2 linked regions of the Drosophila melanogaster genome follow. The protein of the gene in region 1 purifies or fractionates together with the protein of each later gene. This does not show direct contact. Each region holds a gene or a part of one and is shown on either strand. Other genes may lie near its edges. The genes, in order: CYLD and LUBEL.

What was found.
Region 2: the proteins of CYLD (region 1) and LUBEL purify together in Drosophila melanogaster (affinity purification with western blotting, with the first as the bait; one study listed by BioGRID). This does not show direct contact.

What each region holds. Positions count from the first base shown.
Region 1 is NT_033779.5:10,295,083-10,301,563, forward strand, and holds CYLD (cylindromatosis), read right to left. Parts: upstream 4,766-6,481; 5' UTR 4,665-4,765; intron 4,139-4,664; 5' UTR 4,123-4,138; coding exon 3,962-4,122; intron 3,908-3,961; coding exon 3,699-3,907; intron 3,332-3,698; exon of another isoform or gene 3,047-3,331; coding exon of another isoform or gene 2,941-3,046; exon of another isoform or gene 2,896-2,940; intron 2,855-2,895; coding exon 2,623-2,854; intron 2,525-2,622; coding exon 2,349-2,524; intron 2,289-2,348; coding exon 2,134-2,288; intron 2,075-2,133; coding exon 1,856-2,074; intron 1,778-1,855; coding exon 1,543-1,777; intron 1,484-1,542; coding exon 1,342-1,483; intron 1,287-1,341; coding exon 1,090-1,286; intron 1,029-1,089; coding exon 835-1,028; 3' UTR 777-834; downstream 1-776. Other genes in the region: hand, read right to left, coding at 127-217; CG13138 (uncharacterized protein), read right to left, coding at 5,140-6,481.
Region 2 is NT_033779.5:6,767,828-6,773,022, forward strand, and holds the start of LUBEL (linear ubiquitin E3 ligase), read right to left. Parts: upstream 3,142-5,195; 5' UTR 3,059-3,141; intron 2,883-3,058; 5' UTR 2,818-2,882; coding exon 2,764-2,817; intron 2,707-2,763; coding exon 2,508-2,706; intron 2,444-2,507; coding exon 2,307-2,443; intron 2,255-2,306; coding exon 2,126-2,254; coding exon of another isoform or gene 2,102-2,125; exon of another isoform or gene 2,010-2,101; intron 1,910-2,009; coding exon 1,571-1,909; intron 1,301-1,570; coding exon 1,019-1,300; intron 966-1,018; coding exon 677-965; intron 619-676; coding exon 1-618.

The sequences.
Region 1 (6,481 bases):
CATTATTTTCCATACACACGAAAATATAAAATAAAAGTCGCTTTTGTACTGGAATTGGTACCACAAATCACTGTCCCAATTTTATTTAAATAACAGCGAAGTAAGAAGAATGATTTAAACATTTACGTTTCATGTCGAACATGTTGGAAGTATTATAAATTGAGTTATAATACATGGTTGAGTATTCGCACGTCAAGGCAACGGAATTCTTAAACATTTTCTAATTTAACGTAATTAAATTCAAATCAAATTCGCGGCTTAAGATCGACATTTTCGCAGATAGTGCGTCGCACGTAAAACTCGTCTTTGATGTCTGGCAAGTAACTGAAAAACTTTTTCACTTGTTTAGTGAATGTGCGCCGTCGAGTGAACAACATCTGGATATCCTCCCTCCAAATCCACCAATCGCAATCGCCGACGTTTTGCGTCGACCAATGGTGGGCACTTCAAGATTTATATGTATGTATGTACTCCCGTGTATACATACATCCATATATATCCGGAATATGAACTGCCTTTCATGGTCTAGTGATCCGTAGTTCTCTAGATGGTTCAGTCCTGTTTCTGGAGTCACCTTGAAAACTTCTCCTAACAAAAAGCACTTCCTAATTGTTACAAACTTTTTGTAAAAAAAATATAAGCTACTTGGTATATTAGTTATAGAAAACCACCTATCTTTATTTTTTCCTGTTATATATGTAAAGCCTACCCATATTAATATCATAAAACATATTTTTCAACAAACCAATAACCATTAATAGGCACAAAATCCATTTCACATGTGATTTTTACAAAAATTTTATTGCATTCATTTAATTTATTGATAAATTTGCTCTAATGGTACATCATTATATCTGTGCTTTGGTACAGACACATATAGGCATCGCAAAAAATACGCTTGGCGTGTTCAGGTAATACTTTATCGTTCGTTGAAGTTTCATTTATAGATCGTGCGCCTTCTTCCGAGAGCCACTGTGTTAATTCTGGAACACACGTAATTTCAGGTATATTGTATCCATTCTGTTCGCCTGAAATAACATTTGCGTAAGTATAAGAAACTTGTTAGGTTAAAACTAAGATTTTGCTTGCCTTTTCGATCAGCCATTGAATCGAAGAAACACCATGGAGCATCTGGTCCGGATCCAGACTTGACAAATGCCACGTAGTGAGATGTTTCTATGCAAACGACTGCAAATAACTCCATGTACAATCGCGGGACAACCATGTGCTCGGCCATGATTTTAAATTCCTTCGGACTATAAATCTTCTTCGACACATGATTCGTTCTGAAAGATAGGTTTTTAATTGGTTTTCATTCATTTATCTATGAAGATAGCTGACCTTTTGATGTGACTGTGAAATGTCTTGAGACATTTTGGACAAAAGGCGGTGCATTCCAGTCCTGATCCAGCCTGCAAGCTGCCAAAGCAATCCCGGCACTCGTATTCAGCTAGTTTGCCACAAAGTGAGCACTGTCGAGGAGCTGCAAGTTGAATTTTGTTAAGATTCGAAATGCAAATTGTTATATTGTTGAACACCTACAATTTTCAATTATGTCTGTGACATCAAGAACCTGCGATGGCAATATCCTTGGATACATCTTGTAGTTCTTTCCGAAACGAGGCATTTGAATGATGAAACAAGAAGGAACCTCCTTTAGTTTTATATCCGATGAGTGAAAGCTTTGCTCAAACAATTGTTGCACACTCGGTAATGTTAACTTCTCATCCTTCTCCACAAAGAGTTGGTAAAAATAAGAATCTTGCCCCGAGCTTAGCTACAAAAAAAAAAAAAAAAAAAAAACATGTAAATTATTTAGTATAAAAATCTATGCAATAATGAGTACAATAAGCACCTTTAGAAACGGTTCAACTCGCATTATTTGTGAGAGCAAACTATTTAGGAACTCTTCAGGATCCTTTTCCTCGCAGGTGAGACCGCTGACCGAACTTAGCTGATCTAGGAGCTCGCGCAGTTTCATCACACGATCGGATCGAACGAAAACGTTTTTTCGCAATGGATTGACGATCTCATCGCGCAGAACCTTTTGAACCTCACTGTAATTTCGAATATCCTGTTGAAAATAAAATAATTTGTTATTGGTGAGCTGGGCAGACAAATCGAATAACTTACTTGTGGGCCCGGACGTCTGTACAGAATTGAATCGAAAACACTGGTGAAAGTGAACATGGAAAATAGAGTTGCATCAAGGTAGCAGGAATTATGGTGTCCTTGTATTCCTTTGAACTTTCCACATATGCTAGCAAGCTCATCGGAATTGTGTATTTCTGGAAAACAAATAGCTGCATGAACTCCTTTCCTTTATTAAATGTTTATTGTTATCTTACGTAATGGTGGTATCGAGCCATATATGGCAGGACAGTCAGCGACGCCAAATTTCTTTGCGTGATTACTAGAAACTCTGTTTGCAGAAATGCTATTATCTACATCAGCAAATCGCCGGTCAGCGGTGCATCTGTTGGCTGGTACAAAAATAGCTCGACCATCATGGCAAGTAAATAAGCTAAAACAAAACACAACACAGAAGATATTTTTCAGTTAAGAGTTTTTCTTGTATGAGTACCTATTTATGTGTTTTAAATGTTTAAAAGTATGACATACCGTACGCCATTGTGTCTCCCATCCGATGCCACTACATTTTTCAAGTTGGATTCGTCTTCTACCTCGATTCCGACGAGTACGTTTTTTTGCGGGCCAGGCGGTATACCTATCCATCTCACAACGCCATATAGATCTTCACATACTCCAGGATTCGAGACTTCGACGAGGGAACCAATCGCTAGCTCGGTTCCAGGTATTTCAATCAGAGGTTGATAATCAGCGATTGTAAAACCTAGGACAAGAATAAAATTAAAATAAATTTTAATTTCTTAGAAAATCAAATTAAAAAAAGCGGAACGATTTCATAATAGATCATACCAAGTTCTTCGGGCAATAAATTTGGTGAATAAAATTCTAGCACTGTTAATGGAATATTATTGTGGATATCCGAGTCAGAAGACAATTTTTGTTGGTATATATTCATTTTTGAAAGACGCACAGCACAATTTTAATTTCTTTACTAATTTTTATGTTTTTTTTTTTTTCAGCAATTGAGAACTTTGATAAAGTGCAGAACAAATAAAACTCCTCGACAAACTGCATATATCAACTCAGAGAACTGCCGTTTTACGTGAACGTAAATAGAATATATGTATGTGTCGTTATGTATTTGGCCGGCGTTCTATAAATAAATAGACGTTTTCATTTCGTTGTCTTTTGCAAGGAAGCAAAGTGAATACAAGTCTTACAACAACTGTAAAGTATCGAGAATAAAAGATTCAATAACAGTGAACGCTATATTCGAAAGAAGCGACTATTACATACCTGTTTACTCAGCTAAAAGAAGTGCGATACACTTGAAAATAGACAACCAGCACAAGGAGTGATGTAGCAGGCAGAATTTGAATGTCTTTTGCAAGCAGTACAGAAGACTGCTTGAGTAATTCCACTAACTAGAACTAGCTTTTACAGTTCCTGAGATCTCGTTATTTATATGGACGGACAAACAGGATTAAGATTAAGAGAGCTAGTAAACCTGACCAAGAATGTAGCAGGTCGGAACAGATTCCTTCCTTAGTTCTTAATAATGATATATTTCTTTTCTTTTTGAAGAAATGACAGTAAAATAAACTTACGTAAAGGTTCCTCCGGCTCTATTTTTAATATGGGTGAGGCTGGTTTTAAAATTAAGTCTACAGAATTACTAGGATCCGTTTTACTTTTGTTGTTTAAGATCATTGCAGCTGGTCCCGCTCGTTTTGGCCAATTTGTGCCCAAAATGTCTGCCAAATCCACATCCTCAAGATGTTGATTATCGACGGCACTATGGTTGGCATCGGTGTTTCTAAAAATCGCTCATTATTAGCTTTAAATGAATTGAAACAGTTTTACTACGTACTTTAAAATTCCGTTTTTTCTGTTAGGAATCTTTTTCGGGTATACATGGGTCTTGTGCTCGCTCTCGTTGGATAGTTCATAGTTTTCCAGGGAGTCCCCGAATCTATTTGTTATGGTCAGCTTTTTTTCTTTTTCTGCTTCATAATCGGATTTGGAATTCATTATTTCCAACTAAAGGCTATAATAACATTTGTATTAGTAATTAAATAAAAAGGATATACAAAATGTATTGGTCATAAGTGTTTTTTTATGAAAAATTTTAAAGAGCATGCTATATATTTGGCAGAGAGTATTCTACAGTCGAGTTAAAACTGTTAAACGAAATAATCAATGATACTCGATGTGACGGATTCTGTTTGTAACTGCTTAGTTTGCAGTCGCTTACATACATATGTACATATGCACGTAAGTATGTAAGAGACATCAGGTTGCTGTAACAGTAGTTCAATAAACATTCCATTGTTTTTACGCTAATTTCAATCTTGCATTAAATATTTATTTGCCAAGGAGGACTGCACAGAACAAGTAACAGGAAATACATGCATAACAAACACAATTCGTTAGCAACTTTTCCCTAATTGATAAAAACAATGACACACAACAATCGCGACTACATTGGTTTAATAATATTGCTGTTCGCTGAAATACCAAATGACCAATTAAGTTTTTAGCGCAACCCTGTTTGAGTTTTAATACAAACACACATAAATTGAACTAACAAATAAAAAGGTGTTTATATCCTGGATTTTTGTTTAGTATTTATAAAATTTGTGTCTTTTAGAATGCGATTGGAATGAATTCTGGATATCGTTATCGATTTTACCGCAATCGACAATTGTTGGGGGTAATCTTGAACCAAAAAAATACAATACAGTCAAAAAAACAAAGTAATAACGGTTTAAAAACGGTTTTATTATATAGAATATGTAACAGTATATTGCGATTTGTTTGTCGTTGCTTGTTAGGCTTAGTATGTTTTATTGCTTATGAATTTTATCATAAACTTTTAACAACAACAAAATAAACAATTTTATATATTCTAATATGCATTATATTTTATATTAAGCAACTTATTTTTTAGCATTTTTTTTATTGTGGGGAAAAAGTCTTTTAAAAGTCTGTCAGGTATATAATAATTCTCTGAATAGGATTATTTACGCTAAACATTTGATTAGATTATCACTTTTGAGCACCTTCTGCTGAAGCGGATTGGATTGGCAGTTCCACATGTATAGGACTTTGAAAGGCCATTGGTTGGAGTTGTACAAACTGAAATGGTATGGAGAATGGCATACCGCGATAGGCATTAGCCGATTCCTGTGGACTTAGGTCTACGTTGGAGCTATTGACAAAGTCTGGAGCAGAGTTGGCGGTCTCCAAATCCTTTCCCGTGATATTGAAAGGAGTAGGGGGACCGACGAGTTTCAGGGAAACCCCATCCCGTCCAGGAGAAGTCGATTCAATGCTAGTTTTGGGTACGTATTCCTGGTTATACTGCGAATCAAAACTACTTTTTGTTACGTAATCGTGCTTAAATTGAGGATCAATACTACTTTTCGTCACGTAATCGTGCTTAAATTGAGGATCAATACTACTTTTCGTCACGTAATCGTGCTTAAATTGAGGATCAATACTACTTTTCGTCACGTACTCGTTTTTAAACTGCTGATCGAGATTAGTTTTCGTTGCGTAATCGTGCTTTAACTGTGTGGGCACGGAGCTTTGATAGTCCTCCATCCTCGGAGGATGATCCAATTCCCTAGATTTGTATATCCTGTTGTAGTAGTTTGAGGATGGTAGGCTGGATGGTTCGTGTTCTCTGGGCGGTGGATGATCCATTTCCATGTTAAATTTGAACTCCTCGCCGCGTGGATAACTTTCGTAGAGTGATGATGACTCGAACTTATATGGCTCGCTGGAACGAATGTAAACGGGAACCTTTCGTTCTACCTCAACCTTATAGGGCACTGGTACCTTCTTCTCGAGATGAACTGGCACCTTTATTTCGACCGGATACGGAACAGTCCGGAGCACTGGATACGGTTTCGGTACGTGGACTATTTTCTCAATTATCTTTTCGACCACATATGGTTTGGGCACTTGGACTGGCTTTGGGATGTGAATCACCTTTTCCACTATCTTTTCGATAGGCACGTGCACTATTTTCTCAACTGTAACATTCACCAGCTTGGGCACATGTACGATCTTCTCGACAATTTTCTCAATGGGCACATGGACGACCTTTTCCACGGGATACGGTTGTGGTACTGTTTTGATCAGCTCCTTTATGTGGTTGTGATGATGGTGGTGATGATGATGCTTGATTTTCACCTTCATCCGCTTCGCATCCTTCTTACTCGAGTGCTCGACATGTTCGTGCAGAATCGCTTGTGTTCCGACCTGTTCGGATGCCTGGTATTGACCATCGTCCTCATCGATATGCTCGTGGATCTCTTCGAATGTATGATAATGCCTACTTTCCGTACTCTCATCCGCATAATTGGGACTCACATTTTTTCTT
Region 2 (5,195 bases), 3.5 Mb from region 1:
GCACCACCACCTTTTGCACCACCGCTGCCGCCTGTGTATTCTCGTCCTTCATCTCCGGCTTGCGTTTTGGCTCAGCCTTCTTCGAGGATTTGTGCTGATCGGCTTCTTGGAGCTTCTGCTGAATTTTAGCTTGAACCAAGGCCCGAGCACCCGATCCCTCAGACTCCAGATCGGAGTAAATGCGACTGGTTCTGGCCGAGTCCGTTGCTGTTTTGTTTCTGGTAAGGGTTCCCTCATTTTCCCGTCGCTCCGGTAGCCACTCACTCTGCACGGACTTGGCAATGGATCCCCGACGATTCCGCATCTTGTGATGCACCTGATCGCCGTCCAATTCATCGCTGGCTATGAGTTGGGAGGCACTGGACAGGCGCCTTTGGCGGGGCTGGATATGGTTTTGGTGATGCTGGGAGCGCGAGGCACTAGTCATGCCCGAGCGATTGGACACCAAAGATCTGCGGTCATCCTGGTCGGAGTCCTCGTCATCCGTAAGTTCGTCATCCACGTAGCTATTGCGCTTGCGACGCAAGGACATCGATTTGCGGCTGGGTGTTGGTGATGCAGCGTACCGGGAACGGGATGCAGCTCTGGAGGCAGCTGAAGGTGGCATTCCCATGACACCTGCGCATTTAAAGTGCAATATGTAAATTAAAATATAACTAATAGTGCCTCATTTTACCTGGATGCATCATGGGATAGCCTGGTGCTCCTGGATACACATTGGGCATCATACCACGCTGGGTCATAAACACTGGTGGCGGATAGTGTGGATGATGTTGCTGCGACATGTAACCCGGTCCAACGTTCAGGGACAGATTGGAGTTGTTGAATTGCTGTTGGGAGCCGAACTGTGACCACTGATCGGGATGCTGGTGCTGAGGAAGTGCTTGGTGCGGATGCTGTGCCCAGCCAGGATGCTGCTGACTCTGTTGACATCCAGCGCAGTTTAGCTGCGCCAGGGATTGGGCCTGCAAGCGGGATGGTATCTTAGTTTCTAAGGGAGCATGAAACTCTAACTCACCTGCTGGATGCGCTGATTGGCGAGCCAGGCACCTCCGTTTTGGGCCTCGGACAGTGGTCGACGTGGATTCGAGTTGAGATTGAACACCGATGTGCTCATCTGTCGCCGCTGGGCGCCGGCCGCCTGTCGTTGTTGGAGCAGCAAGGAATTGTGAAATTGTGAGTCATCCGAGAGATCGAAATGGGATGAGTTCAGGCCGGATGACATGCTGCCGGAACGAAAATGCGAGGGCGATGGTGAAATGTTTGACCAGTGCTCGAAGCCGGCTTCATTCGACAAATGCTGCGCTTGGGAAATGACCAACGAGAAACGGAAAAAGAAAGAGAGAGAGAGAGAGGAAAGGGAGAAACGACACATGACGAAACGAGACGAGACGATACGATACGAAGTGCAAGGATCAAATACTATCAAGGATCAATGATTAATAAATTAACATTTCATTTACAATTATAACTGATCCTTGACACAATTTTCGCCGAGCAAAGACAATACGATACACTCAGTGATGAGGGGACTCGTACGATTGTGATTCGGGGTCAACGGGTCACTCACCTGTTCGCTGTTGGCGCTCAGATCCTGGCGAGCCTTCTGTTGGCGGTACCGCTGCTGCAGAATGGCCATGCGGTCCAGCGTGGCGCTGGCCTTGCTCTTGATCTTCTCCAGCTGCACCGACGGCGGTCGCTGGATGGTGTCGAACACGGACTTGGGGGTGCCCGATCTGGAAGATCCCCCGCCCTCGCTGCGCGGTGGATCGGGCAGTGGTCGGTTGTTCATCTGGTTGGCAGAGCTGGTGGCAATTGGTGGCACTGGGGGCGTGGCCCCGCCACCGAGCGATCCCCGCCAGCCGCCCAGCGACTTGTGCGAGGGCGTGGGCGAGGGCGGCGGCAGCATCTGGAAAAGAGTCGGGTTGGGTGCCATTTCGTATGGGTATTCGGGTAACAATTGAAAAAGTATGTCTGGATCGCTGTTTCTACAATTTTGGTCGGGCGTTCTGGTTGTAAGGACTCTTTTATTGAAGCATTCAAATTGAAGTTTACAAACTTGGTACTACGTGTAGCCCATGAAGGAGCCTTTCTTACGGGTCTAGGAGATCGTGCAGTGGCGTACCTGATCCTTGCGGCCCAGAAACGGTGTCAAAAGGCCTCGTTTGCTGCGTCGTGGAGGTGCCACTGGTGGTGGTGCCCCACCACCGGCCTGTGCCTTTGGCGGAATCGGCGGTGTGCCCTGCTCCACAGCCTGCAAAACGAAGTTCTTAAGTTCAAATTCATAATGGATCGGGAGAACTTACCTTTCTCATGTGCTGCTTACGTTTGGGATGCTTGTGGAACATGTCGTCGCAGGAGGCGCAAAAGATTTGGCCGGCGCACTCGGCACAGGTTACCCAGGGATTCTGGGAACCGCACAAGGTGCACTTTAGTTTGTTATCTGCAAGTGATAATTATCTCTGGTAGTATTTTAAATAAGTGGAATATATAAAAAGGTTGCCCACCTGGTGTCTTGGTTCTGATCACTGTGGTCTTCATCGGTTCGTTGGAGTACTGCTGGCTGGAGAATTCGATGATCTCGTAGTCCGGCTCGGGAGTGCTCTTCGCCTTGGGCGGCAGAGCAGGCGCCTTGGGAAGACCACCAGCCACACCGTTTGGTGGCGTGGGTGGCGGTTTGGGCCCAATGCGGTCATTTGCCTCCATCTGAAATGGGTAATTAGTGCAATTGGATATTGACTGGCAAACTGGATATTGGCTTACCACCCAGGAGGGCATGGTGCGAACATTCTTGTTTAGCAACTGGTGGGTCGTCATCTTGGTCGATTTTTTCGTCTGGGTTTTGCCGTCACTTAATCGTCTTTTTGCGCTTGATTGGTTTTCTATTTCATCGAAATACGTAAGCAGCAAAATATTAATATTATTATAATTATTTATAGATCGCAAATACCCTGTGCCATATTTTCGCCCAACCGCAGCCACTTCAAACGACTTCAAATTCAATTAAGCAAAGTGCCAGAAAATGCGAATTATGAATGCATATTTTTAGCTGGCTCACCCAAATTCCGAAGCCAATGACCAAAATGCAGTTTCGTGGATGCCGTGCACAAAACTAAACGCTGCCACAGTTCGATCGCGAATAAAAACGCTAAATGTAGTCGAAAATATCTTTCGGTGCATAGAAAACAAAAATTGAAAAATGTATATATTTTGGCATAACATTTTCGGTCTTGTTTATTTATGAAATCATGCGAAAGAGGGAAGTGCTGTTTTGTGACTCAATCGACTCATTCTGTCAACGCGGCTAAGTGGCTGAGATGCCAAGAAAATTGCAAAAGAGATTAGACTAGGGAGAAGAATTCGAATTTGAAAATAGTTCTCAAAAGTTTCGAATAGAAGAGTATTTCATGTAAATGCTTGAAAATAAAAGCGAGCGAATAAAACTAACAGAGAGAGGGAAAATATTGACTAAAAGCTGAGCGAATATGCATTTGGTAATGACGCAGGTGGCCAAATCGTTGCCAAATAGTTTAAATTAAATAATGGCCTAAACAACATAATAATTCCATTAGTAAAGGTATTTCAAATGCTGACTTTAGTATATATTTTAAGTTTACTATAATTGCGTCCAAGGCATCAAACTTTTCAACTCAAAGGGCAACGCACCGGTAAAAGTTATATGTATATAACTAAATATTTCATATATAATTAACTTATTAGATATCTATGTTTCTTCATGTTTTATGAAATGTGTATCTATGATACCAAGGAATCATTTATCTCTTGCATATTCTTGTAAGTTAAGATTGAATGTTAATTAAACTTTTTAATATACATATCTGCACTTCAAAGTTTTCCTTACTACATTTTATATTCCTGATACTTTGAGACAATTTCCCGTTTATTGAATATGTTTTATATCTCAATAATATCTTTTAGAGCATATATTAATCCAGCAGCTCTGGCATATTTTCCACGCACTAGTTAAGTGCGTAACGAGCCATAAAATTTATCCATAAATTTCGGAGTCGCGACGCCTCAGCCAGCATAGCAAAAATCAAGCCACACTGTTCTCTCGCATTGCGTATACGCAACGTGTTCGCTGGGCCTGCACTCCCGTGTCTGTTGCGCTATTTTTGAAACCATCCGCAGCCACTCCATACATTTGCCCCGAAATTGTGTCACACTGTGCAGCAATATTTATGAAAGCCGCCTGCAGTGGTGGGAGGGGCATGGCCCGGTGCCACCTCAATCCCGCCCAGAAGATCGGCCTGCTCCGTGCGGCGACTTCGAGTGGCAAGTGGCCTGGCAAGAGGCAAACGCAACGCTGACTCACAGACACAGACTCACGCGGCGAGGGAAAAAGTTTTATTTTTATAGGAGAACGAACGGTGGGAACTATTTTTAAACATTTCTTTGGCTTGCCTATATTTGCGTTTTTTTTTTTAGTTCACAGTTTTTCATTATTTCAAATTGGCAAATTAGCTTAAAAAATTTGATTTAATTTTGTATACTTTATTTTACGCTTTGATTGTTTATCCCGGCCAATGCCTTGAACTTTCCCATGGAGAGCGTTCTCCGCGTTTAAAATTAGCTGAGTTTTATATTTAGAACACTTGAGATCGATTTAATTGCGGTGTGATTTTAAATTGGCTTTTGAACTTTCGTAATGGATTCGATCGACCATGAACGGTTGGATATCCGCGAAATCAGAGGTCACTTACATAATTCGATTTCACTTGACGCGTCTTGCCGCACTCAAAACTGCCACTGCCAGCTGGTAGCACATGAATATATATATATATATATATATATATATATATATATATATATATATAGGGATATATATATTTTCCTGATATCTAGCCACAGCGCGACATGAAAATTCAGCTACGGTCTCGTTCGACGATCGTCTCCCAGCGAACTGAAATCTCAATCAGATTCTAAACAGCACTTTTACTGCAGTCCGCGGTCCCCAGTCGTCGCCCGAGTAGGAGGAAGTCAACGCAGATCTATGTGCTCCTCTGGTCTCGTCTGGTACGGTTTCCCCCTGGTGATCCCCTCAATCCTCGATCAGTCGCATCTCTTTCCTATTTTCAGCATTTTCGCGTTGTTTTATAAATACATCGTTTTCGAGCGGCATAGAACATTTTGACTGCGAGACGCCGTCGCGTGTGTGAATATCATTAATTCTC